4 linked regions of the Arabidopsis thaliana genome follow. The gene in region 1 interacts genetically with each later gene. Each region holds a gene or a part of one and is shown on either strand. Other genes may lie near its edges. The genes, in order: ICU2, AG, FAS1 and TFL2.

What was found.
Region 2: of ICU2 (region 1) and AG, changing one suppresses a phenotype caused by changing the other (phenotypic suppression), as found in Arabidopsis thaliana (one study listed by BioGRID).
Region 3: of ICU2 (region 1) and FAS1, changing one enhances a phenotype caused by changing the other (phenotypic enhancement), as found in Arabidopsis thaliana (one study listed by BioGRID).
Region 4: of ICU2 (region 1) and TFL2, changing one enhances a phenotype caused by changing the other (phenotypic enhancement), as found in Arabidopsis thaliana (one study listed by BioGRID).

What each region holds. Positions count from the first base shown.
Region 1 is NC_003076.8:26,775,197-26,779,958, reverse strand, and holds the start of ICU2 (DNA-directed DNA polymerase), read right to left. Parts: upstream 3,007-4,762; 5' UTR 2,966-3,006; coding exon 1,859-2,965; intron 1,767-1,858; coding exon 1,596-1,766; intron 1,511-1,595; coding exon 1,427-1,510; intron 1,339-1,426; coding exon 1,264-1,338; intron 1,178-1,263; coding exon 1,113-1,177; intron 941-1,112; coding exon 850-940; intron 758-849; coding exon 572-757; intron 340-571; coding exon 176-339; intron 68-175; coding exon 1-67. Other genes in the region: AT5G67090 (Subtilisin-like serine endopeptidase family protein), read left to right, coding at 3,638-4,762. UniProt on the Arabidopsis thaliana protein: Polymerase alpha in a complex with DNA primase is a replicative polymerase.
Region 2 is NC_003075.7:10,380,945-10,388,886, reverse strand, and holds AG (K-box region and MADS-box transcription factor family protein), read right to left. Parts: upstream 6,032-7,942; 5' UTR 5,207-6,031; intron 4,976-5,206; 5' UTR 4,971-4,975; coding exon of another isoform or gene 4,847-4,970; coding exon 4,741-4,846; intron 1,906-4,740; coding exon 1,816-1,905; intron 1,742-1,815; coding exon of another isoform or gene 1,734-1,741; coding exon 1,660-1,733; intron 1,558-1,659; coding exon 1,496-1,557; intron 1,409-1,495; coding exon 1,309-1,408; intron 1,223-1,308; coding exon 1,181-1,222; intron 1,097-1,180; coding exon 1,055-1,096; coding exon of another isoform or gene 1,022-1,054; exon of another isoform or gene 925-1,021; coding exon 728-924; intron 619-727; coding exon 615-618; 3' UTR 348-614; downstream 1-347. Other genes in the region: AT4G18970 (GDSL-like Lipase/Acylhydrolase superfamily protein), read left to right, coding at 1-12. UniProt on the Arabidopsis thaliana protein: Probable transcription factor involved in the control of organ identity during the early development of flowers. Is required for normal development of stamens and carpels in the wild-type flower.
Region 3 is NC_003070.9:24,318,896-24,325,921, forward strand, and holds FAS1 (chromatin assembly factor-1 (FASCIATA1) (FAS1)), read right to left. Parts: upstream 5,197-7,026; 5' UTR 4,985-5,196; coding exon 4,526-4,984; intron 4,403-4,525; coding exon 4,303-4,402; intron 4,222-4,302; coding exon 4,074-4,221; intron 3,992-4,073; coding exon 3,868-3,991; intron 3,737-3,867; coding exon 3,372-3,736; intron 3,291-3,371; coding exon 2,985-3,290; intron 2,464-2,984; coding exon 2,382-2,463; intron 2,306-2,381; coding exon 2,168-2,305; intron 1,904-2,167; coding exon 1,490-1,903; intron 1,416-1,489; coding exon 1,278-1,415; intron 1,185-1,277; coding exon 1,011-1,184; 3' UTR 501-1,010; downstream 1-500. UniProt on the Arabidopsis thaliana protein: Component of the chromatin assembly factor complex (CAF-1) involved in chromatin assembly following DNA replication and DNA repair. Assembles histone octamers onto replicating DNA in vitro.
Region 4 is NC_003076.8:5,826,659-5,831,467, forward strand, and holds TFL2 (uncharacterized protein), read right to left. Parts: upstream 3,103-4,809; 5' UTR 2,880-3,102; coding exon 2,520-2,879; intron 2,207-2,519; coding exon 2,181-2,206; intron 2,101-2,180; coding exon 1,993-2,100; intron 1,881-1,992; coding exon 1,125-1,880; intron 1,043-1,124; coding exon 982-1,042; coding exon of another isoform or gene 964-981; exon of another isoform or gene 894-963; coding exon 846-893; 3' UTR 513-845; downstream 1-512. Other genes in the region: AT5G17680 (disease resistance protein (TIR-NBS-LRR class)), read left to right, coding at 1-495; AT5G17700 (MATE efflux family protein), read right to left, coding at 4,367-4,462, 4,543-4,629, 4,727-4,809.

The sequences.
Region 1 (4,762 bases):
TCCCACAAGAATATCACTGTCCAATTTGTTTAACTCCAAAAACAATCGGTTCAGCAATGCTCTTTCACTGCAGTAAGAAAAGGAACAAAATATTGGACGAAGCCAACATGAATTGCCAAAGATATATGTGAAGGATCACAAACACAGCCTATTCAGTAACAGAGCTGCAACACACCTGTTTTCAATACTTAATACATTGCAGCCGTTCTTTGAATTTCTGTCAGACACTTCTTTTTTCCAACCAATTGGGTAACCGGTTCCTTCAGGATTCCTAACAACAGTGAAATGACTCAGAATACCAGATCTCTTTCTTTCTGGAGCTGGCATTGGAACATCAATCTGAAAGATCAAGGAGCACGCACATCATATGTCAAGCTACTAATGTAGACAGAAAGAGTGTCTTTTGAGCAAGAAACAATCGTCCAAAATGAGCGTTAATATAAAACCACATGGTACGAAAACCTACTGGTGATTGGTAATGCCATGATCATACATCCGTATTCTTCACAAAGACAACAACAACAACAACAAAAAAGGCTAAGAAGCATTGGTTAAATGTTGTAGAACAAACCTTGGCGTTGTGAAAGCAGAGAACAGATGCAGAAACAATTTCGCTTATGTTCTGCTTTTCATTGACTATAGTCTTTAAATTTATGGCTGTAACAACAGCAGGAGGGTGAACCACCTTTTCCTCTGAAACTAAAATAGTGATATCCTTGGGAGATTGAACAGTAACCTCAAACTTGCACCAACTCACCTGCACAAGTGGCAAGTCCTCTCATTAGCGGAGATAAACAGAACTAGAAAAATCACTGATTATATGATTATGGCACAGATTTAAGGTCTTACTCCTTCCGAAGGAGAGCAAGTAGAGAAGCTTGAAATTTTGAGCCAACAAGGTCCCATGATCTTCCTCTTAAGGATAAAATGCTCCAAAGCACTGCATATGAATTAACTTTGATAAGGATGAAAAAATTGCACCGTGCTAAATTGACATAGCCAGCATACATAGTTAACTAAGAAGCTTACAGAAGACCAGAAAATACAAACTTAACAAACCAACTACCAAACACATGGAAAGGTAATGAAACTCAGCAGTAAGAAGCTAGAACCTGGTATGAGACCCGAGCAAAGCGGAGAAAGACTCGCCTTTAAGATCTTCTGGAAGTGGACGATCCTGTTATAAAAGAGGAAACTTGTCATATTGTTGAGATGTAAGAAAACAGACGATTTTTAGTTTTATTTTGAACAGCTGAAATGTACCTTAAATGAATAATTTATCTTCAAAACATATTGTTCGCCAGCAGGCACATCAGGCCTCTCAAAAGCATAGTTTCTCTGATATTCGTACATAAAGAGCAGAATAGAGAGTCAAAAGAAAAGTATTGCTGCTAGAATACATGAAAAAGAAGTCAAATATCCAAACCTTGACAGGCGCCATGCTAAAATTTGAAACATTGAGCTGTAACAATTCCTGAGCAATTTCGTTTTTCAGTTTTGATGCCATTTCCTGAGAAGACACAGCCAAAAACAATGAACAACAGAGGAAAATAGATTGCTTCCTCTTAGCATGTAACAAAGGTAGTCAAACTCACATGCAATTTCCCACGGAAGGATTCAGGAGAAAGTCGAGAGTCTTTCACCTCTTGCTCGAGCATGATTAGTTCATGGGAAGGAAATATGGAATCATTTGGAATAGCATAAACACACCTCTGGATATTCTTAACTACCACACAGCAACTCTTGTAAGTATCTCCCATTTTAACCTGAATTGTTAAAAAAAGAGAGACCGAATTCATTCTCTAGATTAAGGCCAAAAGAACAACTTTAAAAATGAATGAAAAATCTAGAGATTCACCTTCCCAAACAGATATATTGTGCCCATGCTCGCACCAAAAGCCTCCTCATAAGCGTCAAGAATGAAGAAACGAAGTGATCCGTCAGCATCCAAATCAAATTCCGTTTTCCCTTCAGAACTAGAACCAAGCAAAGCCCCATTCTCAGTTCCAACTTTTCCCATCGCTTCCTTCCAACCAGCAGTGGCACTTAAAGCCGAATCCTTCTCTTTCATATCAATCGTTGCATTCAATGTAAATACCTCCTTGACACCTAACTCACTCTTCACTTCAGTTTTCCTTATCTTGTTTGATCCATCCTCTTTGACAATATCACTTCCAAGTAATTCCATAGTCTCAGAAGGAATGACTTCAGATTCTTTCATATCTTCCTCTTTCATCAATTCATTATCCATGGAAACAGAATCACCCTCATAAGTTGAAGGTGTTGGTTCAGACTCTTTCATTCCCATACTCGAGGCAACAGAAAACAGTTTTTTATTCTTGAAGATGGTAACTGGAACAGTACCTGGTAGTTTTCTCCTCGTATGCTTTTTTCTATCCGACTCATCTGGAGTAACCTGAGCTATTATCTCGTCAAGAATACCCTCATACTGTGCCTTATCAGTCTCCTTAACTTTCTTGAAACTCGAAGATGTGAACATAGACGAAAGTCTACCTTCACCAGTGATAGTAGCCGCAGCTTTTAACGCCGGATTCACCTTCTTAACCTGAGGTTGCTGCGTTTGCTCTTTCCCTTTCTTCTTCTTCTTAAGTCTCCCACTAAACCTACCACCGTCGTCTGATTCATCAGTCGATTCTGGTCCACTTGGCTTCGACCAATCCTCCTCCTCACCTTCGTCGAGATATCCCAAATCGCCACCTTCCCCATCTTCAACTACAAACCCGCGAGCCTCCTCGCGCCGCCGGGAAACAAGTGCGTCGTACTCTTCGTCATCAACGGTATCGAAGATTGGCTTCTGCAGCCTAATATCGTACCCACCACCTGACGCAGAACGGATTCCTCCTTGTCGAATCGCCTTCAGACGCTCGAGTGTGTCTTTCCTACTCGACGCCTCCGCGCCTCGGCTACGTCTTCGTCCAGTTTCCGTTGAATTATCGCCGGACATTTTTACAAATCCGGTCAATTTGGTGGTTTGGTGAAGCTGAGTAACTGATTTAGGTTTAAGAACCCAGATTAAGAAATGGAGATGGCGGGAAAATCGACACGATTTTGGCGCTATCCATTTGCCAAATCCGAATCCAACAAACAAACGGGTTCTCTTAATGGGCCTTACTCCTCTTTAATAAAGCCCAAAAACAAAAACAAAAAAGAAGCAATTATGAGACATCTATTTGAACGAGATCAAGCATCAGAGAGTTGTAGGAGCTACCTCGGTCTGTGAAGTAATTGCTGATGGAGTCCACCAAGTGTAGAATCTAGCTAAATACAGTAAAAGAATCAAAGTTTCAGCCTGAGTTCTAAGTTACTGATATTTACCGATTCGAAAGTCTAAACTATTGCTGAAACTACTAATAAGTTCATATCCAAAATCATTGTTCTCTATGATAAAGCCCAATTGAAAGAGAAAAGAAAAAAAAACAATGATGAGAGATGATGTGTTGCCGACCACCTAAAACCACTTTAACAAAAGCAAAAGCCAAGTAAAGGTTACATTCTCTGCAACTTTTTTGTCATAATAAAAACTAAACATCTATTAACAACAACACTATAATTGTTTCTTACTAACACCAAAATTCATTTCACTTTGAAGAGACCAGAGAAAAAAACTTGCTCAGACATGGGGATGACCGTCGTAATTATTCTGGTGTTCTCATTTTTCGTAGCGATTGTAACGGCGGAGACCTCTCCTTACATCATCCACATGGACTTATCCGCTAAACCGTTGCCATTTTCCGATCATCGGAGCTGGTTTTCCACAACTCTTACTTCAGTTATAACCAATAGAAAACCAAAGATTATCTACGCTTATACCGATTCGGTTCACGGGTTTAGCGCGGTTCTCACCAACTCTGAGCTCCAACGTCTTAAACACAAACCCGGGTATGTCTCGTTCACCAAAGATTTACCGGTTAAGCTTCATACCACTTTCTCTCCAAAGTTTATCGGTTTAAATTCGACATCCGGTACATGGCCGGTCTCGAATTATGGAGCTGGTATAGTAATCGGTATTATAGATACCGGAATTTGGCCCGATAGTCCCAGCTTTCACGACGATGGGGTTGGTTCGGTTCCGTCTAAATGGAAAGGAGCATGTGAATTCAATTCTTCTTCCTTGTGCAACAAGAAACTAATCGGTGCTAAGGTATTCAACAAGGGTTTGTTCGCCAACAACCCTGATTTGAGAGAAACCAAGATTGGCCAATACTCTTCACCGTACGATACAATCGGACACGGCACTCATGTTGCAGCCATTGCAGCTGGGAATCATGTTAAGAACGCGTCTTACTTCTCTTACGCCCAAGGAACCGCCTCAGGAATCGCACCACACGCGCATCTAGCAATCTACAAAGCCGCGTGGGAAGAAGGGATTTACTCATCAGATGTAATCGCAGCGATTGATCAAGCGATTCGAGATGGAGTCCATGTGATATCTCTGTCGCTAGGATTGAGTTTTGAGGATGATGACGACAATGATGGTTTCGGTCTAGAAAATGATCCAATCGCAGTCGCATCTTTTGCAGCGATTCAAAAAGGCGTTTTCGTGGTTACTTCCGGCGGTAACGACGGGCCATATTACTGGAGTTTGATTAACGGAGCGCCGTGGATTATGACGGTTGGAGCGGGAACAATTGGTAGGCAATTTCAAGGAACCCTAACGTTTGGAAACAGAGTTAGTTTCAGTTTTCCATCTCTGTTTCCTGGAGAGTTCCCTTCGGTTCAGTTTCCAGTAACTTACATCGAA
Region 2 (7,942 bases), on another chromosome or scaffold:
TACAAAATCTAGTAACCGGAGGCTAGGAAAATGAGCTTGATTATGACCATGATTTATTGAGAACAGGTATGGAGCCATCCGATAATGTTTGCTCTTGGTTTACGAAATGAAGCTAGGCAGAGATAAGCTATTGTATGTGCATTTAAAGAAAATATGGTTAATACTCTTGTATGTGTTTTCACCGAGCAAGACGCGAGATATTGAGACCGGGTGGTGAATGTATTCCTGGTAGGCAGCTACAAAATGAACGAATGTTTCGACATTTTGCAACTGTACCACATGGGGAGAAGGAGGAGGAGGATGGAACTCAGCACATGAATATATATCATTATCATATTGAGACTTTTCTATAATAAAATCATTAATAGAGCAGGAATTGGTAATTAAATACAACAATTGAACTAATAGTACACTTATACACATAGATGTTTTGAAGCAAATTAAGCACATTAATGACATGTCTTTAAGATATTAATTTCACATCAACATAAGCATAAAATTCACTGATACAACATTCATGGGATAAATATATATATAACATGCATTAGCTTTATATTGCTTGCTCAACCCAATTCTGGTTTTTATTCACTCCCGGCCATTTCCTTCAGCCTATATTACCTACAAAACAGCATAAAAGACCAAATCCATGCTGTCAAGTTTTACAAAATGGACCGATTAATAATATAAGACTAGAATGATTGATCGGAGCAAGATTTTGTGTCCTTACACTAACTGGAGAGCGGTTTGGTCTTGGCGACCCGCGGATGAGTAATGGTGATTGTTAGGTTGCAATGCCGCGACTTGGAAATAATTCCGTGAATCAAACGGTTGAGATTGCGTTTGAGGTGGTGGCATAAGCTGCTCGTAGTTAGATCCTCCTGGCATTAGACTTATACTCGGATTGTTCCTCTCATTTTCAGCTATCTACATTACACAAATATATGTCATAAACTATTTATCTACAAGTACTTTCACCATTTTAATCGTTTTCATATAATATTTATTGAAACAATAGGGAAAATTATAGAAATTGATATATAATGTGTACTTTTACCTTTGCACGAAGAATCTGGTTATCGTTATGCAAATCAACTTCCTGCTTAATCGGTGCAATGCAAATGAGCAAAATTATTATAAGAACATATTAAGAATAGAAATTAAGTTAAGATTTATTTCTTACTCTTTTCTGCATGTAGTCGATTTCAGAAAATAAGAGCTCATTCTGTAAAATTAAACAAAAATTAGCAACAAGGCATATAGATTTAATTTGATATTATATTGAAGCATTTATAAAAAAAATAGAATTACCTTCTTGGATCGGATTCGGGTAATACTTCTCTCTAATCTGCCTTCCAAGTTCCTGAGCTCTTTGGGAGACATTGACCCTATCGTCTCACCCATCAATTGCCTAATTGATTTATCAACATATGTTAATATATCAAATAGTTAATAACAACCAAGTAATCAAATATTTCAAGTCAGTTAGATAATTAACCTGTTGGAGTTTTGTATGCTGATTATTTGTTGACGCAATTTGGCTGATTCTTGTTGATAATACTACAACAACAACAAAAAAAAAAAGAGTAAAAGAATGAACAATGTTGTCATGTCATCATATATTAATTAAAATCATTCGTGTAATATTAAGTTACCACTTACCTGTGCATTAATTTCTGCCACCGATCCGGTGTTAGAATTGTCCGATATTGCCTTCTTGTACCTCTCAATAGTCCCTTTTACACTGCAATAATTTTTTTAAAGGAATTAATAAGTTAATTAGACCTATTAACTACCTATTTTCTAAACTTAATCTACGCTTAAATCTGCATTTTGATAAGTAATAAAAAATAAAATTGATAGGGTCAAATCGACCACTTGCACAGTTAAGTGATTCTAATACGAAACCTTAAAAGCAAACATCGGTTCTTTTGAGTCAGAAGAAATGCAACTTAATGTGACACATGATGTGAAGAAAAAACAAAAGTAATATAAGAAAAGGGAACAATTAAATAGTTAATAAAATATTTCCTTAAAGTTGTAACAAATAAAGAATCATTTTATGAAACAATATGAACCCTAAATAAATTAAAATTCCTCTGAAACCTTAAATTTATCGAGCTAGTGATTGGCTGCCAACTGCCATGCTGGCAAAATTAGAGTGACATGATTGGTCTGAACATGTCTAGGGTTTCAGACATGTGACATGTGTCAACAACCCATTAACACATTGGGTATAAATCCAATAGACATTTGATAGTATTAAAATTGTAACCATTGGATTAAATTTAAACGTGATGGATGTAACTAAATGACTTGTCCGAGTAACATCACAACGTTCCATACTTTCCTTATTTGGAATATAATTAAATTTACCATTTATTCTTTTTTCTTGAGTTTCCTGTATATGTACTTGTACATAGATATATATACACAAATACGTATTACAATGACATATTATAGACTTTGATGTCTGAACTCTCAACCTTCTCGATGGAGAGATCATGACCGTAGATTTTTTTGGATCGTAGAAGGCAGACCAAACTCTTAAACTATTGGATCCGTACTAAAAATCTCACTTTCCTCTCAGTACCCATAATGAGAGAGAAAATGATAAAAATCCCTAACATTATTCTCTCTCTAGAAAAAAAAAAGATACTTCAAAAAGAAAGAGAAATTGCATAAATCTATCTACACCAAAGATGTTGAAGCAATTCCAATGCTATACTTCTATGCCAAATCTATTTATTCAGTGATCATTAATCTTTTTACTTCCAAGAAATATGAACAATTTAGTATCCTTATAATTTTTGTCTCTATATATGTAATATGAACATTGGGTATTGACCAAATGAGAAATCTAATATTAAATGGTCAAAAGTAGTAATATGATGACATTTTTGAATTTATAAATAGGTTACAAATTAATTCATTATGACATAAAACCTTCTTGTCAGAAGTCAAGAACTGAAACTAACAAAACTTTATAATAAATTAGTAAAAATACAAGTGAAAAATAAAAAGAAATAATATCTGAGTGATGACGTGATCAAAGATTCTTTAACAAAGACAACAAATCTTACAGACCCAAAACCTAATCTTGCGCTCAATTCCAACCTCTGAAAAAACCTCAAAAATCTTATAAAAGAAAATAAATAAAGAAACGAAACTCTGATTTCGTAGAGTACCCATCGGATATATAAAAAGAAATTAGTAGGTAAATGAAGACTAATTTTGATTGACTGATTTAATTTGAAGTCGTTGTTAGCTTTTCTTGTTTTGGACATGAGAATTATATATTTCAGGACATGAGAGTTGACAACTGTAAACGATTAAGAAAATTGATCTTTTAATTTTCAAACACCATTTAATCTTGACATGTTTTATGTTTTGGTGGAGAAGAAAGTAATCACGTGGGACTCTCTACTAATAAGTATTTGGAAATTGCGTGTCGAATTAGAGATTACTAGTTTGAGTAATGTAGTTCGAAATGAGATTAGTTATTTTTAATTTTAAAAAGAGTAATTTTAAGGAATAACAAAAAAGAGTCCCCATAAGCTAATTTGTCTTAATTACCTCCTTGTTTCATTGACTATTTGAAATCTTGAAAATTCAGTTGAAATTTCAAATCTATGTTTCTTTTGACCACTTCTAAACTAATCTTAGCTCATATATAATTTTCCAAAACTACAAAAATAACACTAACATTTAACATTCTCAAGAGAAAACAAAAACAAAAACTTAGATAACCATCTAAATTGTCCTACATGTACGTATAAGTTCCATTATTTTCTATCACTCATATAAGTTAAAATTTCATGAAAACTCAAAAATCTAGCTAGTTTCACCTTATTCACTCTCACTTACCATCACATGTGTTTGTATCAAATATATGATATGATATAATTCATGAGAGAGAAAGAGAGCTAGAGATAAGAAAGGAAAGTAAGAGAAAGAAGAGAAGAAAAAGAGAGACACAGACATTAACAACAATGGAGGATGGATGATCACAAAACAGAAGATATGACCTCATAGTCCTTCCTTACTCTCTCCCCAATTTGTTTCCCAAAACTTACTTTTATAGTCATAAAAATCAAGTTTTTACCTATTACAACACCAGATCTATAAATATATCTAAATCTTCAAGTACTTGTTAGTAAGGAAAATAGAAAGATATAAGATTTTATTATTATTATAATAACAGAAATGAGTGAAGAAAGAACACCCAACAAAGTGAATCTTAGTTCTACAAAACTGAATCTAAAACTCCACATTAGAAAAAACCCTGATGGTTTCTTATTTCTTTTCATTTATTATCTAACTCTCACTCAGATCTCCTTTAACTTTGTACCATTTCCCTCACTTCATATATCTATATATAACAAATTCTCTCTTTTTATTTAAGTCTTAAGGGAAAATTAATATACACATGAAGAACAAGAAATTAGATCTACAAAATTGTTACAAAAACCCCCGAAGTAAATAAAATAAACATATCAAACAAATATTCCCACTAATGTTAGTGTGTTTATATATATATGTGTGTGGAATATGAAGGAAAAAAGTGAAAAATAATCCTACCCATAAGAGCATTCAAGAAGAAGAGAATCAAATCTAGCTTAGAAGATCGAAAACCCTCGTAAAAGATTTATGCTTTAACATAAACATAAAACCCTAAATCGGACTTTAAAAATAATTTAATTATTAATAAAGTAAGAACAGAGCACGAGAAGAAGAAGAAACCTGTTGTTAGAGTACTCATAGAGACGACCACGGCTAGAGAAGACGATGAGTGCGACTTCAGCATCACAAAGAACAGAGAGCTCGTAAGCTTTCTTGAGCAAACCATTTCTACGTTTGCAAAAAGTGACTTGACGATTCGTTGTGTTCTCGATCCGTTTGATTTCGATCTTTCCTCTCCCAGATTTCCTCAAGGGAGAGGAATCTCCTCCTAGCTCCGATTGGTACGCCGTGATTGCTGCTCCAAAGCCAAAAACGTTTAGGGCAAAATTTGATTAGTACAGAATTACAAGAATCCAACAAAAAACCAATCAAGATTTTCTTGAAAAGACTCAAGATTCTTCATGTTTTCTATTCTTTTGAATTATGGTTGAGATTAAAGTTAAACTATAAAGATTTAATTTAATTCTGTTGCCGACACACATCTTATAGAAGGAATTATAAAGTTGAAGAACTTTATTGATCTTACATTCATATTCTCCTAACAAGAGTTAATCAAGAAAGGATGGTAATACACAAGTTATAAACTAAGAACAAAATTGTTTTGTAACCATAGGGATAATTTAAATCTAGAGTGTGAAAAAGAAAAGTTTTAAAGAGTTAAAGAAGATCAGAGAATTTGTGAATCTTGTTTCTCTCTAAATAACATAAAAAGAATCAAATCAAAACGGGAAAAAAGGAAACTAAAGAAGAACAAAAATTTGGTTTAAGGACCAAAAGAAGTGAAGCAAAGTAATATTATGAAGAAGATAATGTTTGAAAGGATTGGGGAACAACAAAATACTAGCCTGACCTGTTGGGGGGAGAAGAACAAAGGGGAAAGTTTTATTTTTCTTGGGAAAATGATTTTCTGGAAAGTATGAGATTTGGAGAAGTTGCAGAAAATGGAAGGTAAGGTTGTGCTGGTGAAGAGATGGGTATATACATTTATAAAGGAATATTTTTTTTCTTTTTAATTTTCTCTACTATTTATCACCATTTTTCCCCACTTTTTACATCCATATAGTGTCTTGTCAATTTGTGTTTGATTACTGGTTTTCTTACTCACTAAAGCATAGTTTTATGAATGGAATCTATGAGATAAGTATGTGTTTCTTCTTTATTAGATAGAGTTAATATACATGTATTTTCTGAAAAGTAATTCTATTTAAACTGGTTTTGGAACATACACATGTTAGATAATTATGTGGTGAAAGTTGATTTTGAGAATTGACAAAAGTTTTGTACTTGGTTGATAGTTATATATGAGGGAAGTATAATTAATTAAACTGGTGTTTCTTTTCAGTACATTTAGACATATGATAGGTTAAAATAAAAGATTGACATAGAGCAATCTAAAGGTTCACAAAGCATGAGTACATCAGCTTTTGAAATCACATGAAAAATATTATTAATAAATAGTGTTAATTACCATAAATAACACCCACCATACATCCGGACTTTTCATAAATATAATACTTATTAAGGACACCCCCAAATTGAGAAATTGTAGAAATGAATAAATAGTTTTTGGAAATGAAGAAAAAAAGAGAGAGTTATTGGTGGGTAGTTCTTGTGTGGTCTTTCACAAAGGTCTAAATGAAAAGAGGGTTCAAGTTGGGCAATCACTCATGAGATGCAGACTCTACTTACCATTACTTGTCTTTGCTTTTCATGTGAAAGTTTTTGAGGCACTAAAATCTTTGGGTAAATCTGATCAGTACATTTTTTTGTTACAACAAATATCGATCTTCTTCTTTGTTTCTAGTTTTTACTAAATCTTGATCTTTTTAAAGAGGAAAAAATTTCAGCTCTATTCCCTTTTCTTTTGTGAATTGTTTTAAAGATTTAAGTGACATTCTGCAGGAAAATTTGTTTCACTAATTAAGGAAGTTATTTATAAACAAATATATGGTGTTGTATATTTGATACCATTTTACATTATTTTGCCAGAATAAATATAAGAAAATGGATTCTGGATACTGAAAATATTAAAGAATAGAATTTCAAAAAATTTATGATAATATTGTAATTACATGATGAGGTGTAATTTATTCCGTATATAGTAACTGATGGTGTACAAATATAAAGTAACATATAAAAGAAAACTGTGTAATTAGATATATGGCTAAACTGATTATTAGTAGTAAGAACCAATATACTTATCTATTTAATGGTGTGGCAAATATAGAATCGAATGATGTAAAAAGAAGGAGAAAATTACTCAGATAGTGAAGAAAATTAGCATACTATTTATGTTAGTGAGATTTGAAGTTGATGATGTTTACTTGTTGTGATATTGACATATAAAAAAAATGATAAATTAATAAGATAAATAGGGTTTTAGGGTTTATAGGGGAAATAGGGAGATGAAGCGTACTTTTAAGGGGCTGGACAAGACGTAGGGCTTAATTTGGAAAGTTATTTAAGTGTAATGCTTCTGACTCAATTAGAAGGTAACCAGACTTTTCTCTCTTCTCCAACTACTTTAATCTCTCTCTCTTTTTTTACATTTTCTTTTTGACTTTTGTCGCCCTCTTCAAGATCACAGCTCTCCATATTGTTTGTGAAACTACTATATGAATATACATAGGTGACTACTTAATAAATTTTGTTGAAAAGTATCTAACTGTTAAAATAGTTCTCCTAATTGGCTAAATGGATTAAAATTTAACCCAAAATATGGATTAATAATCTTTCTTGTTTTATTTGATAAAGATCTTTGTAGCTCGTATGTGGAAGAAAAAAATTGGGTAGATATTTTCTAACATTTTGTTAAATAAGTTATTTTTAAAAAATGTTGAATAATTGAGGAGCACAATGTATAAATGGAGTAAGGTTATGCCAAAAGAAGAGGGAGAGTAGCATGTGATGTGTAGTCTTTGATCTCCATCTTTATGAACCCATTTAAGGTAATTTGATAGAGATAAGAGAAACCTATATGTATATACAGTCCATATTCATATTTATTTCCCTATAACTATATATACATCCACTTGCAATGTGCTTTCTTTTCTTTTGTACTTTTTCTTTCTTTCTTGCAATTAGAAAAAATAGTATAGCTTAACTGCATGTAATTTACCTTCTCTAGTAGTATATTTAATTAGCAAGAGTTAAAGTAAGTTTAGTAAGAATTACTGAATTGAATACTAGTAAAATTTACAAATTAGTACATAATTAGATTTCCTTTACGTCACATGTATGCTTGTATGTATGGAAATTGATT
Region 3 (7,026 bases), on another chromosome or scaffold:
TTTCGTGATGGCTTCACTTTGCATTGCTATTGCTTTATTTTACTTCTTTGACGATTATAAACACATTATGGTATTTTATATTTGTATACGGTTGAAAAGTGAACGTTATAAAACATCTATTTTCTGCTACTTTCTCTAAGTATAAACAAGCACAAAAGATTTAAAGGTGATTTGATATGGAAGTACGTAAAGGAAATTTATAGAGACTTTTGAGTACTGAATAAAAACATTTCTTCTTAACCATTTATCATTCCCTCACCTAAAACGCTTTTACCGATCTTATATAAACATCATACATTTGTATCCACAAGAAACCGAAAAAAGGATGTAACCAAAAAAAAAAGATGGAAATTATGAGTCTTAATTAAACTCGCGCGTTTTCCAATCTCTCTGCCTCTATGGACTCCAAATTTTGTTAAAGATAATAAGTAGCAATATATATTAAGAGAAATGTTATTTGTTTGGAGATCTTAACATGTAATCTAGCTTATTAGTAAATAATCTCATTCTCATTAATTTGGTAAAAGTTACAATTGGGGGTTTATATACAATTGACCAGGCCTAAACCAGAGCCTCTTAACCAGCTAAACCAACCTATACAGACTCCAGTTAAAACTATACAAAACCAGAATATTTACAATGAACTCTATATACATAATATAGCTTTGTAGACAGATTGATTTCGAAGTCGTGAGAAAACTTGCGAAGAAGAAAAGATGGAGGAGGCTGAGACCGCGAGGAAGAAGAAGTGAAAACGATTTAAACGGTGTCGTATTATAAAATAAGGGTTTATGATTACTCCCAAGTTTTAAAGCCTTTTTAACAGAACAAAACATCTCGCTATTTCATGTTGCTTCTTAATACTTAAACCATTTTATCATTTCCCTCATCTCAAACATTTTTACCGATATTGAGCATTATACATATCCACAAGAAGCAAACAAAAAGGATTTAGCCAAGTTGAGGGATGGATGTAACCAAAAAAATAAAGATGGAAACTGTGAGTAGACTTAAGCATTTTCGTTTTCCAATCTCTCTGCTGCGTCTTCAACTGCAGGTTGTGGTTTTGTGGATGGAGGTAAACAACGTTTTGAGAAGAATGTAGATATCGTTTTCGGTAATCTCTTACCGCCTTTATCTGGTGACGGTGATAATCCAAGCTTTGTCAATACTTCTTTCTTTACCTGCTCGTTAGAACAAAGGATCGCGGGAATGGTGATAAGCAACTATGTCTCAAGGCAAAAAACTCAAAATAGAAGATCGAAGTATTAACTAACCTGCCAACGACTATCCTCGAAATCTGATATTTCACGCACTTTTTGTCTAAGCTTGGTCTTTGGAACATCAGGGAACTTCTGCTGTAATGTTTCAACTACCCTATTGATACCTTGAGAGCATGATTGAATAGTTGATACCTGGACGCCAAATTCTTGTTAGGGCTAAGTAGCAATACATAAACAATGTTATTTGTTTGGAGAGATCCACTTACAACTGTAAGCAAATCTGAGTCTGGTATGATTTTTGCTTTTGAATTAGATGGAGGAGTGCTCTGGCTACAAGAAAACTTGCTGGCTTCTTGATCTTCATCTTGAATGTCGTTGATCGATATCTCAATGAGAGAAGACCAAGGGAATTGTCGCACCATGAGAGCTCGCAGACATATTTGTTCTACTTTTTGTGTCCCTTCTAGATCTTTAGCAGCTAAGAGAGAGACCTTCTCATGAGTTAGGTTACATATGATCAGTGGCTGCGTTTTCTTCAGAGCATGGTCAGTTAAATTTTGCAGATGTTTTTGTTGTTGGAGTAATGCGCAAAACTCTGGACTTTCTTGATCTTGCTTAGATGATGTCGTATTTGCATCCTGTTCAGACGGATCAATGTCCATTCTGTCCACTTGGACCCCCTGAAACAAACAACACACTTTGTTAAGAAACTTTACATTCGTTATAGCGTAGCTGCCTTTAGTTAACTATCCCCTTCACAAAATTGGCACATGCTCAAAGAAAATGAGTGATCAATTATAAGAATGAATGAGGAATTCAAGTTGTAACTTGATCAATAGTTTGGATACTACAAAGAAATGCAAATTTGACTTCAGCAGATTCCTAGATTGCAACCTAGATTTATAAGAATCTATGACGAGTTCATTAAAAATTGCTTTTGTTACCTCATCTTCTGAGAGATATCCATCAGGCACCATAAAGTCATCTTCACTATCATCTTCATCATCAGCCTTTGAACATCCTTCTTCCAAACTTTCGTCTTCATCTTTCTCACAATCTGAAAGGCTTTCACCAGCTTCTTCCTGTAAAGAAGTATCTTTATTACCCAGTGATCTTTTGTCAAGTTTAAAAAGCATGTACTGAATTCAATAAACCTACCTCTTCCCATTCTTCATCACTATCAACTTCATAATCCAATTCTGGATCCTTTTGCAGAGGACGACGTGGCTTTACAACTTGACTGCAAATGTTAAACAACAGATCCCTCAGTACCATTGTAAGCAAACTTAGAGAGTGAACACTACTTAATTGAACAGCTAGATGCATATCAGAATAACAAATGGTATTGTCGTATCAGAATCACAGAGAACGTTCTGTACATTACAAGTTCACTACAATGATTGTTCAATCCAAATTGAAATGCATTGGACGATAATAACCACAGATCCAACATAGACGATGGTTAGTTAATTAAGGAATCAGAACAGGGTAAAGTAGCGTAAAAGTATGTTTACTTCATAGGTCATTTATCATCTGCTTTATTAAACACCATGAAAAAAGTAGTCACATAGGCAGCATCGGAAAACTTTATGACTTATGCAGTGAAAATTGAAAAATGTTTCGCAACAAAGCTAATATCAAAAAACAGTACCAAACAAACCCAGGGGAAAGCTTGCAGTTAGTCAAGGCTTTTTGGCTAACTAATAATCTATATTATATAAGCTTACTGCTGAAATGAAAATTTTCAAAATAATTACTAACCTTTGGCTGGGCCAGATACCATAAAAGCCTGGTCTGCAGCTTTTATCAAATTGTAACAACTGCTTGACCCTCCTGGACTTCTTACGATTAGATGAGGAAGGCTTACACTGCCTACCATCAAAGTTATTCTCTTCACATCCATCCCCTTGCTTCTCCATGTTAGGTTCACCGTCAGATGTTACTCCACTATTTGTAGATAGTTTTAGTTTTGGAAACAGTTCACTCTTAGGCTGCCTACGCATCCCCCAATGTTTTTTCGAACTCGAGAGCAAATGACCCAACTGACGCCAGGAAGCAAAGTGTTCCCTACAAAGAAATACAACTCAGATCACAATACCCAAAGTGACACCTCACAGAATCAATCAACAAGGAGAACCAATGTCATACCTGCGAATATCATCAACTGTAGCTTCACAAGTTGTTGAAAAGGCGTTGTCAATTGCCTGAACAACTTTTCCAATTTCATTCTCATGTTTTGTACATGACAGCTCCTGAGCAGTTACTTCACTGGAAGGAAGTTTGGGTTGGGTCAATGAACTATCTTTGCTCTTTTTAAGAAACCGTTCCATGATTGAAGCTTGTTTCTGTACTTGAAGTTGCTTCTTTAGCTCGGCTTGTTCCTTCTCTCTACGCTTCTGCTCCTTCTCCGACTCATCTTGCTGTTTCTTTATCCGTTTTCTTGACTCTGTCTCTTCTTTTTCTTTATTATTTTCATCAACAATTGCTTTCTGCAGTAGCTTCTGCTCTTTTTCCTGTCACAGTGAACAAATGCTCAGTCAGAAGTCAGACTTTGAAATCAAACAACACATCCTAGATGACTAAAAGAGAATAAACAGCGCCAGAAAAGACTTCTAGAAGACAATGAAGAAAAAGATCAGCTTACTTGTTGCAATTTTTCTTTCAATACTTGACGTTCCATTCTCTTCTTCTCCTTCTCAGCTTCACATCTATTTTTCTCCAATTGTTTAAGAAGCAGCTTCTCTTCTCTCTTTGAGTCTTTCTCAGCCCTTAACGATCAAACACAATAACTGAGTAAGAATGAAAAACAAGAGATAAAATGTAAACCAAGTACTAACAGAAGATACTTACATTTCTGAGCTGTTCTTCTGCATCATGTTATCCATGAATGATCGAATATCCACCTCACTCAGTATTTTACCAAGCTTCTCAGCAGCTTTACTCAAATCAGATCTCCACAACTTTTCAGTTTCTTCTCTTTGTAATGCAGCTAACATTGCTGAAACACAACATAGGGCATAAACACTCACATCTTATAAACAAACAATCAATACGAATCACCACTAAAAACAACATTTACCAGAAACTGCTGTAATCCTTTCATGAATCTTCTTTCGACAAGTCCGGCGAAGTTTTAACACTCCACGAACGGAACTCGGCATGATTTTCAGATCTCTCGTCTACAACATCAAATAAACATTACATCTCAAACATTAAATGACATCACCAAAGAGTATAAACCACACCAAACTTACCATTAGATTCAAAGATCAAAACTTGTAAGATTAGCAAACTAAGATTACCTCCCAGCACCAAAGACAAGATTCAGAATCATCCTCCAAAACATCAGCATCTACGTTAAGCACACCGTAACTAACTCTCTGACCAACAGAAACAACAGCACTCTTCACAGCTACCATAGTAACACTTTCAGTCTTCTCCTTCAATTTCAAGTAAATCTCATCTACAAGCTTCGACAACGGCAAACTCATTTCCTCCATTAACAAAGCCACCATCGAATTCAATGAGGAACATTCACTAAATCCAGAAAACAGATCTGTTCTCTTACTCTTATCCATAACTTCTCTGAAATAATCAAAAAGCCCTTTCATCTCTAGATTCAACGACGAGATCTGAGATTCTTTCTCCTCAGATGTTAGATTCTCAATCGCCGTGGGTTCTCTCTTCCGCTTATTCAGCTTCTTTGGCTCTATCATCGTCTTCCGATTCTCATTTTCATTCACCGTCGAAACTTCGTCCATCGCAAAAAAAAAAACTAGAAAAATTCGGGAATCTATAAACCCAGGAAAATTGAAACAAGATCTAGAATCTAAGAAATCGATTGCGAGAAACACGAGCTGAGTGGAGATTTGTTGTTCCTTTCGTGATTTTGATTTTGGATTTTTTTTTTCTCAGAGTTCTTAGGTTTTTGGAGAAGAAGAAGAAGAAGGGAGTGGGAAGATGGATAGGTTTGAAAAAAAAAAAGGATAAAAAAATAAAATTGGGGATTCACTAAAAAGAAGGGTCGTTGATTTTCCCGCCAAGGTTTTGACGGGTGGATTTGCCTCCAAATGACAAAAATGCAATTTTACTGTTTGGCGCCACTCAAGTTTTGGAGAAGATGAAGGCCTATGTGGGCCTGCTTTTGTTTCTTTTAAGCCCAATATAGTGGGGGAAACAATTGGGATGACATATAAATAGAGACTAGAATTTACTAATTTTAAATACTCATGCGGATGCGGTTATATAAATAGAGACTAGAAATTACTCATTTTAATTTTAATTTTAAGCCTAATACGGTCATGGTGAGCAAGAGCTCCGAATGAAACCGAATAATACTTTGGATACGATTTATGAACGAGGTAAGAAAGTGAAAGGAAATGAAGATTTGTAGCAAGAAAAGGGAGGGAGAGAAGATGGTGAGGTTTTTGTTCACTGAGCATATGTTGTTGACTGACCATATGAGGGAATCAATTGATGATGAATGATGTGGTAGTAGTGCGTGTTAATTTGTCGTTAGAAAAATGTTTGAATTATAATTCTTCGCTTTAATTTTCTTCTAAAAGATACTAACAGTCATACTAATTAAGAATGAGTAATTGGTTGGACAATTCAATAAGCAAACAAAGTGAGTTATTAAATGGCTAGTGTTTTTATTTGCGGCATTGTACTAAACGAAATAACAAAACAAAATAGAGAGATGATTTTCTGTAATTGTAAAAATAGGAGAAACCAATGAACTGACGTTTTATTCAGTGTTCACTTTTCAGTAATAGGAATCAGATAAAGAATATTTCTTTTATTTTCAAAATTTTTTAAAAATATCCCAAAAAGGGTGATAAGATTTGGTGGCCATTAAAAATGCTACTTTTATGTGTGAGCTTTTTGTATTCATTCCCACGAGGCTACCCTCACGGCTCAAGCATCTCTCGTCATGCTTCTGACGTTCTTCATCTCCCTTTGGATATGCCATTTGCATGATATGATACATTATACATTGATAGCTTCATACTAAATAATGCGTTTTAAAGGCTTAATAACAAATTAGTATAATGTAAAATGCTATTTGAATTTATTCTGTATATAATGTTTTTGAAAAACTTAGGAAATAGTGATGCATTGCAACAAATTATACTAGAAAATATCATGCTTATACCATTTATGGTGACGGCATAAAAAACTTGTGCAGTTGGAACCTTAAAAACGATATTTACGTAAATTATGACACTAAATGGTGCGTTTAAACGATTAAACGTTTATATTTATTGCAATACATCACTATATTGCAACAAATTATCTAAAATATCCAACCTATGCTATTATTCATAATGGCGGCATAAAACTTGTGCAATTAGACCCTTTTAAATATTCTAAGTAATTACGTCAAAAAAAAAAAAATTACACTAGATATTTGTTTTCATTGAAAAAGATCACAAACTCAACGTCAACACAGGATGGTCTAAATTAATCAACGTGGAGATGAAAGTTAAGAGCTATTTTAAAGGCACAAATTTTTATGTTAAAGACTTTTGTTCCTAACATTCATTTCCACTTCCAATATAAGATAATTCTAACATTAAAAACTTATGGTGAAAAAATATTTTTTAAAAATTTTATCTGATTTGGGGTTCAAAAATATTATAAATAAAAATTCCATAATTTCTAACGAACATTTGCTGAACAAAAATCTATTACTTATTGAACCAAAAAAAAAATATGCTATTTTTCTCATTGAAAATCTCATTGTTTTTAACCTCTCTTCGAATTACATTCGTATGAATCACAAAAGTTTATATTTAGGAGC
Region 4 (4,809 bases), about 21 Mb from region 1:
ATGAACAATCTGAAGATACACTGCTCTTGTATATTAAAAGATGCTGATGCTTGTGAGCTGGTTGTTATGGATGAGGTGTGGTATCCTGATCCAAAAGCTTTCACAAACATGTATTTTGGATCAGATCACCTTCTCTTATTCAGCAGAACCTGCACGTCCATGGAAGCTTACAGCGAAGCCCTGTTTGAATTCTCAGTCGAAAACACAGAAGGAGATTCCTTTAGCCCGCTTGGAGAGGTTAAAAAATGTGCGGTACACCTTATATCACTCAAAGACATGATGCAAGAGTTCTCTAATGACTCTGACAAAATTCAGAGTTCTGATTTGGATCTTCCAAAGGCATTTGATGACGCAAGAATTTTGAAAAGAAGAGCATATGAAACTGAGTTCTTGCATAAGGAACAACTAAATCCCAAGAGGATCAAGTTTCTTCCAGTTCCTTTGGCTCGAGAGCGTCATTCCAAATTACATCAGCGAAATGTCATACGAAAGTAAAAAAAATTACTTGGTTTGCTTGTAAACATAATTATTATATATTGATTGATCACATATATTTTGATAACATCAACATATCATGAACTTGATCTTTGAAGAAGCAAGTACAAGAAAACTTCCGCTATAAGAAGCAAAGGTCCAAGTAACAAGATTTACTATGATAGAGATAGAGAGTGAACACAACGAACCCGAGGAGATAAATTACAATCTGAAACCTCCCGGAGACGCGATACAAAATCCAATTGTCGCTACCTCGACTCTACATGTTGCACTGCTAGAATAAAGAAGCCATCTAATCTTTTCTACCTACAAGGGCTGTGTACAAACAAATTCTTACCATTCCGGATGATTTAAGGCGTTCGATTGTACTTGAGATGTTGCTCATAGAATTCAATCAGCTGGTGTGGGAAAAACAAATTAGAAAAGCTAATAAGAAACTTCCAAATGAGTAAGTGCAGAAAAAAAAAGCTATAAAGATAATCTTACGAGATGAGGATTGTGAGCCTTGAGAAATCTGTTGTCCACCAATGCTTCCTTCCCATCAGACCTATGAGAGTAACCAAATAAGTACAATTGTACAAATATGAAATCAAATTACGAGAAATGACCAAAGAGCTAAAGAGACAAACCTCAGCGCTAAAAAGGTCACCAACACTTCCTGGACATTGTCTGATACAGATGCTGTAAAACTCATTGGTTTAAGTATCTTCGTGATGTCCAACTCCTCAATCTTGGTTTTCTGAGACAAATTACAATTTTCCATCACACCAGGATATTCATTCCCCATCCTTGCAATCCTACCAAAAGAGTCTAATGTAGTCAAATCTGGTGTCAGATTCTGATCTGTAGGTGCTGTGTGGTTGTTACTTGTGGATCCATCTTGTTTGAATCTTTTCACAGAACCAGACTTCCTCCGCTTAGCACCTATGAAACGACTGTTCTTATCAAGCTCCTTAGGATAAACCTTGAGAAGGCCATTGGGTCTTACATTATCACCTTCAGAACCAATGCCTCCTCCTTGAGAACATCCTGCACCGTTACTATTGTTGACTGGTCCTCGTAGCTCGTTAAGTGTTGGATCATATTCTTTCTCATTGTCAATCAAACGAACTTGTCGGGCCATCCCAACACTCCCACTGTTGGCTTCAACTTGGTTGGATACATAAGCATTCTTCGCTTCCACATCTCTATTTAATAGACTCGAACCGCTTAGGTCTAGTGGATCAGGAATGTCAGGAAGGCTAGAGTTGTTGAGAGACGTAGAAGAGTCAGATTTCTCAGTAGCATCATGTGATGTAGATGTTAAACGTTGCTTCTTCTTCATCTGAGAATGAGGACCTGCATATTTGCGCTTCCGTTTCCTACCAGGCTTTCCTGGCTTCAAACTTTGAAACATATGAAACAAGAAAGCAAATCCATACATTAAACCAAGAAAATCCATGAAACAATCAATTCAAAAGTATCACAAAACTTTTATATAAGATTCCATTTACTTACCTTCCCTCAAAGGCATCTATAACATCAGCAATAGACTGGAGATTCTCTAAAGGCTCCCATGTGTTGGCAGTTTCAGGCCATCCGCGCCTTTCACAACCGAGTTTATAACTTATGTCAATGGAAAAACATATGTTTAATCAAGAACAACAAACTTAAAAATGAAACCAAGTAAGATTAGAAAAACTCACCATTTAATTAGATACTGAACCTTGCCCTACAAATACAAAAAAAAAAACAGTACCAAAATGCAGAATCAGAATCATTCAATCAATCAAATCCAAGAAGATATCAAACATTAAAGATCATTTTCTTCCTACAACATATAACAACCACAGAATCAAAACTTTGGTTCGTTATAAACTACTCTGTTACGATGATTACTAACTACTAAAGCAGCCACTTTCTCACACCAATGTGTAACCTACGTTTGATACTTATCTTAAACCTAGAAAACCTAAAACCTCAACTAATTATGGTTAACAAAAACAAACCACATTTGCTGAGTGAAGACGAAAAAAGGAGCTTACTTTTCGAACTCTCTTACGACGAATAGCTTCAATTTCATAAAACCCTTCATCAAGCTTTGGCCTTTCCTCTTGCCCACCTTCTCCTTCTCCTTCTTCATCTTCCTCATCACCTCCATCATCTTCATCCTCGTCCTCTTCTTCTTCTTCATCTCCATCCTCCGTAGGCCTATCATCACCAATCTCGCGAAGAATCGACTCTCCACTTCCACCTCCACCTCCCCCTCCGCCGTCGTCACTGCCAAACCCACCGTCTCCACTAATTTTCCGGCTTTCTCCGACTGTTTCCACCGCCGTCTCCGCCTCACCAGCTTCGTTCAACACCTGGGGTTTCTTCTTAACAGCACCACTTGCCCCTTTCATTTCCTGAGTATTCGAGCCTCCCAAACCTGAAGGAGGAGGGTGAATCAAGGTAATCGCGTTCTCTTCTCTTCTTCTCCTTTTTAGAAATCAAGGATTTTGGAGGAAGAAGATGAAGAAAGATTGAAACTTTTTCTCTATTTCTGAGGTTTTTGTTTTTGCAGGAAGAAGACCTGACCTGACCTCAAAGACCAGTTTTTTCACTTTTTTGGATTCTCTTTTTTTTTTTTTTTTTTAATATCACAATAGGAAAAGTTGAATACAGCAAATTCTTAACGTTTATAATCTAATTAGAAGAGATTATTTCTAATTACTAATATGAAAATAATAAATACTACTGAAGAAAATATGTGAAGGTAAATTAAATCGAAAAATATATTAAACTGAAAACATTTTCTTTAAATTAGAAATAAAAGAACATCGTGCTCTTGCTCCTTTTACAAGGAAATCAACTAGGACATTATTACAACTTAAAAAAAAATCAAAGGAGATTGAAAAATCAGAAAATAAGTCTCATAAACTAAGATTCTCACTCCAAGTCTCCAAGTGCACTGCAAAGGCAGACAACTTAGTTGGATCTCCTAACATCATCATCAATAATTTTCAGCAATATCTCATCCAAACCAACAGAAAAGAAAGTCCTTCTCCAAGATAAACTTCATCGAGATTCAGATTCTTTCATTCCAAAGTATAGTTATCTTGATAGTAACTATGTGATTACTGCTCGAGTTTTAGCCTCAACTTTTGGTGGGCTAAAGTTCTATTTTCTTCAGTTTAGTGTGTTTGTTCTATACTTTGTCCAACCAAAACTTGTTTCTTTGTGATTAGTACTTGTACACTAAATGATGCATGTTTTGATCGCTTTGTTAAATTTGAATTGTTACTATAAAATTTGCAGTTCTTTTTTTGTTTAAACGTTAGAAAAATAATAATTACTATTATTATTTAAAATGGTGATATGAAAGAAGTAAAAAGGAAGAAAAAAAACATTCATTAGGATCGGTTCATAAATAGGGGGAAAAATGGAACGTTTTGACTTCAACATAAATAAATGAGTATTTTATTTGATGGTGAGCTTATGAAAGTTTGTAACGTTTCCTCGAAATATATATGAGAATATTTTTTTTGTAAAAATTCACGATTACAAGCACTCAAACAAATGGAATTTTTTTCCCCACACACAAAATATACATCCATTAAAAAATCAAGAAAGAAGTTAAAATTTCAAACCTCCCACAATTTTTTTTTTGTTTAGAAAGAGTATATCCGAAGAACAAGAGAACAACCTTTTTCTCTGATAAAAGAAAAAGTTCATCCTTCTTAACCTTTTTCAAAGTTATGAGAGTTGCATTAACCTAATAATGCAATCTCAACACCGATACTTCATTCTTAGGGAATGCAAAACACAACCACAATACAACATAAATTATTCTTTCTTTTTTTATAAAGAATTTCTTAAAAGATTTCTTTAAATTAACTTAGTTGTATGTTCACTTTCTCTCTTCATCTCTTGTGGAGATAGTAGTCGATTGTACAGCAGGTAAATTTAGAGTCCACGTTTTCATACGCTCGTTTGTCTTCTTAACCTGTAATTAGATAAAATTATACATTTAATATGACGAATTTTCTAATAAAAATTTTGAGTTATATATTAAAAGTAAATTACCTCCAATTCCCAGTCAGTTTTGTAAATAACATAACACAATATCAACGTTTGGATACCAACTCCAGCCAACATTCCGGACCAGAGTCCCTGCATACAATATCATTTATTCAAGTTAAAATTCTAAAAGTTCTAATGATTGATCATAATGAAGTACTGGATACCAGTTTTCATATATATGATGTACCTTAATCCCAAAATTGAAAACGTAAACAAGGAGGACACCTAAAGGAACACCAATTGCATAATAAGATGCTAAGTTCACTAATG